Daphnia pulex: one gene and its partner. The protein of the gene in region 1 binds, or shares a complex with, the protein of each later gene. Links are inferred from orthologs where the notes say so. Each region holds a gene or a part of one and is shown in the gene's direction. Other genes may lie near its edges.

The links. The genes of interacting proteins can lie anywhere in the genome.
Region 2: RNA-binding protein with serine-rich domain 1-B-like (region 1) and histone deacetylase complex subunit SAP18-like share a complex: the UniProt entries of both Homo sapiens proteins name them as parts of the heterotrimeric ASAP (apoptosis- and splicing-associated protein) and PSAP complex. The link is inferred for Daphnia pulex from reciprocal best matches to the Homo sapiens genes RNPS1 and SAP18.

What each region holds. Positions count from the first base shown.
Region 1 is NC_060025.1:2,684,602-2,688,391, reverse strand, and holds RNA-binding protein with serine-rich domain 1-B-like, read left to right. Parts: upstream 1-1,580; 5' UTR 1,581-1,662; coding exon 1,663-1,664; intron 1,665-1,765; coding exon 1,766-1,915; intron 1,916-1,971; coding exon 1,972-2,130; intron 2,131-2,197; coding exon 2,198-2,562; intron 2,563-2,622; coding exon 2,623-2,758; intron 2,759-2,822; coding exon 2,823-2,982; 3' UTR 2,983-3,196; downstream 3,197-3,790. Other genes in the region: dehydrogenase/reductase SDR family protein 7-like, read left to right, coding at 1-61, 125-485; transmembrane protein 11, mitochondrial-like, read right to left, coding at 574-747, 809-921, 988-1,208, 1,290-1,312. UniProt on the Homo sapiens protein: Part of pre- and post-splicing multiprotein mRNP complexes. Auxiliary component of the splicing-dependent multiprotein exon junction complex (EJC) deposited at splice junction on mRNAs.
Region 2 is NC_060018.1:4,705,695-4,708,533, reverse strand, and holds histone deacetylase complex subunit SAP18-like, read left to right. Parts: upstream 1-1,274; 5' UTR 1,275-1,416; coding exon 1,417-1,500; intron 1,501-1,562; coding exon 1,563-1,669; intron 1,670-1,757; coding exon 1,758-1,848; intron 1,849-1,947; coding exon 1,948-2,142; 3' UTR 2,143-2,242; downstream 2,243-2,839. Other genes in the region: protein toll-like, read right to left, coding at 1-142; uncharacterized protein LOC124210509, read right to left, coding at 2,265-2,613, 2,675-2,839. UniProt on the Homo sapiens protein: Component of the SIN3-repressing complex. Enhances the ability of SIN3-HDAC1-mediated transcriptional repression. When tethered to the promoter, it can direct the formation of a repressive complex to core histone proteins.

The sequences.
Region 1 (3,790 bases):
GACAAAGTGGCCATATCGTGATGATTGGATCACTTCAATCAAAACTGGCAATTCCGTTTCGGTAAGTTTTATCATGTTTTTGAATACATTAATATTTAATTTTTATCGTCTATGTCGATTCCAGATCGGCCTATGCTGCTTCCAAACATGCACTTCAGGCATTTAGCGACAGTCTGCGAGCGGAAATCCATCGTCACAAGATTGATGTGACAGTCATTAACCCCGGATACATCCGCACAAGTTTGTCTCTGAACGCGCTGACGGGCCGAGGAGACAAATATGGACAGACGGATGAAACTACGGAGTCGGGAGCGGATCCACTCCAAGCTGCATATGAAATTGTCATTGCAATTAAGGAAAAAACCCAAGAGCTGATGCTCTGCTCACTCTTTTATCGTTTAGCAGTATTTCTTCGTGCAATTCTACCCAACGTTTATTTCAAACTTATGGCGCGTCGAGCGGCCAAGAGCAAAAAAAGTCGTTAATTTCTAGTAGAGAATCTCTAATACATTCTGATATAATAAGGATGTATTGTTCAGTTTGTACATTTGGGAAGTTTTCTTTATAACAAGACTACTTGAAGGCAATAAAGTACAGCTTCCAAAGGGTAATGCTAGCTGCTGTAACACAGATGGTGCAATGAAGAGTCTTCCGTTTGTTATCATCTCTTCTTACGAGAACTATGGGACTGGAAGTGGTCAACCTATTAACTGGTAATTTGGCCAGTCTTTTTGTATCCATTTCAACCTGAAGCAAAACCGATATCTGCTATGACCTTTGCCAACTTAGTCAAGTGTATGTATTCTACCTGGTATTTACAGCAAGGATCAAATTGCCAAGATGCTGTGTACAGTCCTGTACACAGCAAGGAAAGGAGACCTAATGGAGTGTATATGTATGGACGATTATCACAGAAAAATCCTAAACAGGAAATTTAACAAAATTAGACTTATATAATGCAACAACTGAATACTAGCAACAATTTACCTGTTATGACCGAACCAAGTCCAGCAAGTACTGCTGTCTTGTGAAGACAATTTCCAACGGCGATCCATCGCGCCGTTTCATCGCCTAGTCGAACTGGCTCAATGACAATTACTGGAACAGCAGCTTCCAGAGCTCGTTCTAGTTCTAGCTCAAATCTTTCCTGGGCGTTTTCACCGTCATAGATTTCTCTTACGACCGCTATTTCCGCCGAATGTGGCCCGCTAAAATTTGAAACAGCATCATAATATTATTGTGACGACCGGAAGCTTATAATATTTTTAAACAGTCATGCAAGGGATTACCTGCTCTTTCTCCTGTCTGCCATTTCTTTTGCCACTTGGCCAGTGTTTTCAAGTGGTTGCTATACGTACTGACGGCCTTGTAGAGTTTCGGCAACAGCCCAAAAACAATCATTGCCGAAACATTTTTTCGTTGCCGTCGGCTGTCGTACAACTAGTTTAACATTTTAATAATAAAAAATTAAATAATCTTTGATTTAATCTTTAAAAAATTCACATAACTTGTTCCAATTAAAAAACTATAACTTTACATTCATAAAAATAAAAACGAGAATCTATTTAATACAGGCAACGTTGTGCAAGTGGCATTAAGCGTCTGTTTTTAACGCTCCTCCCCTTTATCAACTCGTATGTTTTTCAATAAAACTTTCTGAAAATGTGAGTAAATCGAGTTAAATCCTCAGCATCATTTAATAATTTAGTAAATTTTTACGATGAATCTAAATTAACAATATTTTAAATTTGTGTAAATCACTTAGGCCGGACAAAGAAACTGGCGATCGAAAAGACCGGAAAGCCGGCGAAGATTCCAGTAAATCAAAAGATGCTAGCAAAGACAAAAAGGATACCAAAGATTCTGGGAAGAAAAAAGGCAGAGCTTCAAGCAGTGATAGTTCTTCAAGCAGAAGGTAGTGTTAAACTTTGTTGTGTTTAATGAAACCTTCAGCTTAATGTGACATTTCAGTTCTAGATCGTCCAGCAGCAGCAGTAGCAGCAGCTCTAGTTCACGATCATCCAGCAGTTCTTCTTCAGACTCTAGATCATCATCTAGTTCATCTAGCTCTTCTGATTCATCAGGTTCCTCACGTTCCAGCGGTTCATTAAAGAAGCACCAGAAAAAGAGGTAATTATTCTAGTTGGATGACGGTAAACAAGTTTCTTGTGATAACAGCATTTTTGTTGACGTACAGAGCCCCAGCGAGTGATAAGCCAAAAGTTGATAGCAAACCTGATGAAGAGAAAACAAAACTGGATGGAGAAAAGAATGTTGACAAAGACAGAAACAAAGAAAACAAACGATCCCGCTCTACATCTCCCCGGAGGCGTCGTCGCGATCGTTCACCTACACCCAAGCCACTTCGAATCCACATCGGCCGACTGACGCGCAATGTCAACAAGGAACACATTAACGAAATTTTCTCCGTTTACGGAACCATCAAAGCTGTCGAGTTTCCCAACGAACGTGCTGGGTTAAGTCACCTCCACCGGGGCTTTGCTTACATCGAGTTCAGTACTGCCGACGAAGCAGAAAATGCAATGAAGCATATGGACGGAGGTAAAGTAACGTTTGTTGGTTACTGCTATAAATACGTTTTTAATCTCAAATAATCTCTAGGCCAAATTGATGGACAAGAAATCACAGCCGCCCCTGTGCTGATCCCTAAAAACCGTCCACCACCACCTCGACGGAATTCACCACCCAGAAATCGACCGGGCCGTTGGGGCATGGGTGGTGGTCGATCTCCACCAAGGTAATATACTACTAAAGTAAATCTTTATTCCGGTTATTTGCATCTGTTGTGTTCATTTCTACAGATTCCGAAGACGTTCTCCCCTACGTCGACGATCTCCTCCACGAAGGGACAGAGATAGGAGACCACCTCCACCTGCCCGTTCCAGGTCTCGTTCACCCAATCGCCGTTCAGGTGGCAACAATCGCCGTTACAGTCGCAGTTCATCATCTTCTTCGCGTTAAATAAGACAATCATGATTTATTTAACGTTGAAGAACGTCCACTCTTTTTTTTTTATCAACTCAACTTTGTGCTCGTGATTCAGATTTTGCTTTCGCCCGAGCTGTTGCTGATGAGTCAATAGCGTAAATGCCACACGTATTCCGTAAATTTTCCCTTTTTCGATGGAATCCTGCAAGACGATACAATATCACCTGACAATGGCATTTGTCCTTCAGTTGTTTCTACTACATTTCTTTTTCATTTGAAATGAAAAGTCTTATTATTATTTTATCTATCAATTTAAAAAGTTACCCAACCGCAAGTTTATGTTGCCATCTGACGTTTTCCAGTAATCCGAGTAGTAATGCTTTCTTTTTAAAGTCAATGGCTGCTGGAGGAGAAACCGGATAAGCCTTAAAAAAAAACTAGTTGGATCTGTTTGTTGGAAACTCAATAGAAGTGTGTGTAGCGGGACATGACAAGTCAGAACACTTTCATTCCGGTTTACAAGTGACATGTGAAAGGCGGGAGATACGGTTTCGCCTCGGTGTTATAAACACAAAGAAAGGAACAGCAAATTTTTATCAGGGGGAGGGTAGAAATTTCTCACAACCGGAATGTAGCTGTTTCTAACTGCTTTTTTCCTCCTATGAAAAAGTCGATTTGGTAAATTGTGTTGTCTTCCTACATCCGGCAACGGCGCGCCCAACAGTTGGAACAAATTTGTTTGCACAGCTGTACTCAATTACGGAAGTCTGTTTGGTTCTTATTATCCTCTTAGCAGTCAGCGAATCGCATTGGAAATGTTTTTGAGAATATTTTGTTTGTT
Region 2 (2,839 bases), on another chromosome or scaffold:
TCGGAAAGCATTGACATTCAGGATTTTCACGTTGAGAACATTTCCAAAAACTTTCTGGATGCTGGTCGATAGCAGCACTTAGTTCTTGACTGACAACAATGGTTTGAAAGAGAACACAACACAACACAAAACGGTAGGACATTTCTAAACTGTTACATACTTTTTCTTTAAGAGTAAACGTATTTCATTAGTCAACACTCAACAGGCGATACGAGATTCATGACCTTGACGTTTACAATGTGACGTTCCCATTTCCCGATTCTACGAACTTTCTAACATAGCAACATCACAAAGTGAGCAAAGGCCTGAGTTGGCAAGGGGGGTTGCAGTCTATTGTGATCATTGTTCGCGCCTGCCACCTATATTCTAGATTGTTTAGATTCTATTTACCCAGCATGAATCACAATGAACGTGAACGAAGTTTCACGATGTTTTCAGCCATAGATGTCTCTCTCTGATATCCGTAGATTGTGACATTACGTGATACCCCGATCAAACAGGCCTTGCAATGTATTTCCTTTCGTATTATGAATTTATTGCACGTAAACAGAGCCGAGGGAAAGTTAAAATGTGGTTAAGCTTTCACAACTCAGAACGAAATGAAAAACATAATTTTTAGACAACATATTTGCTTGAAAAGACTTCTCCGTTGATAGAATGCCATACGTTATTAATGTTAAAACATAGTTTTCTCTAATTAAAACATGATTAAAAGTTCCGATTGTGATTCGAATTCTGAATGATTAATCCTTAGTTTGAAATTAAAAATAAACACCAATCCAATCTTCTCTTCAATTAAATTGCAGCTAATTATTTGAAGTGGTTAGTATTTAGTACGCGTAGATGCGGACTATTACATTAAATAAGAAATGCGTAAGGCAAGGCCAGAGCAATAGATCCCTGGTCGGTTCACGGCTGTGTTGGCTTCCCCATCTCGATTTTAGGGTAAACGTAAGCCGATTTGGAAACTTTAAAAAGCGCCTCTAGTGAGTGTGTCAGCTACAACGTCCAGCTACTTTTGAGAGCCTAGATGGCTCTTTTTAAAGTTTCCACTTCACAATTCTGACAGGCCCCGCCCTAAAACCCCCTGAAAATCGGCTTACGTTTACCCTAAAATCGAGATGGGGAAGCCAACACAGCCGTGAACCGACCAGGGATCTATTGCTCTGGTAAGGCCGTAATTCATTTTCGATCGCTGGCCCGCCTGGCCGTCCCGCACTCCGCAGACATTATTCACATGATGGCAATGTGGCAAAATTACAAATTGCCACTATCAGCCGGTTGAGGCGCTGTCTCATCAGAAGTTGTTCGCGTCCATGAAACAGAATAATCTTGTTTCTCCCGGCTCTTCTAACTCAATCATTAAAACTATTCAAGAACCTTGTGAAAAGTAATTTGAAGTTAAAACCATACAGAATGGCTACGGGAACTGTAGAATCTGCTGTGGCCGTTCGAGTAGAAGAAAATAGAGAAACTGAAAAATCTGTTGACAGAGAAAAGGTAGACTAACATTTTTTGCATTTTCTAATCTAAAATATGACTGAACTGAGTTTTCTTTGCAGACATGCCCATTGTTACTTCGTGTTTTCTGTGCCATGGGAAGACACCATAGTCTTGGTGATTATGCAAGAGGTAGTGTGCCAGCAAGTGAGCTTCAAATTTATACATGGTAAGGAAATCCCAAGAAAAAGTGATATTTACGGCTAAAGTTATGTGTAATCGTAGAATTCATGAAATTTTGCATTTTGCATTTATAGGATGGATGCCACTCTTCAAGAAATTACTGGATTGGTGAGAGAAGTTAATTATGAAGCCAGACGCCGTGGAACACGCTTTTCCTTTGCTCAGGTACATTCTAGTTCATACAGTACTTTAAAGTAAAGAGGAACTGCTGTGTTTGTTTGTTAGTTCATCATTATACATCATTCTTTTCTTCTGTCTGCTTAGGTATTCCCCGACCGAAGCACACTAAGCATGTCTCGACGTGAAATAGGTTCCACAATCTCAGGAGAACGCGGGCCAGATGATATGAAGACCCTCAAACAGTGCCGTTTTACCATTGGAGACTATATTGACATCGCCATCACTCCACCCAGCAGAAATATGAATAATCAAAGCAACAGGAGATTCAGGCCATACTAACTTTTTTTTTGTTTATCGACACGGCATTCTTGTTTTTTTTTTCCAGCAATTTTTCCAAGTCATTTTCATAATTGACAGTAAAAAATTTTCACATAGAAAATGTATTTCTCAGTTGCATTTTTTTATGGAAGGCTAAACGCTGCATAAGAATCCCGTATTAAGTAATTAAGGGTTAAGTCATCCGAATGTTCCAGAATTGTCGCAATCAGTTCCTCTTGCTCTTGATGAGAATCAGACGGAATTGGAATTTCTTTTTGTGCTCCCAGTTTACATGTAAATTTATGATAGAATTCTAGCATTTGACAATTCATAGAAATGCCATATTGAAAGGACAGCCTTAGTTGGTGATGTGCGTCTTTCAAATTTCCAATTTCATCGAATAATTGCGACAGTTTAAAACATAATTGGGATCTGATCACATCTTTCGTTCCACTCACAGCAAAGGTTATAGAATTCAGTTGCAAAATTGATCTAGAAAATAACGTTTGGTTTTTAATAGTTACGCTTTATATTCATGAACTAATTATAATACCTATTGATGAGCTGGATAGCTTTCTTGTATTGCTTGAAATGTGCGCAGATTTGAGCATGAAGGTACAAGGTAAACAAATCTTCTTCTAGGGATGAATCAATCGCATCCAAAGCTTTCTGGTAGCTATTTGACAAAACGAGCGCCAGGATACGCTCGTGTAAAACA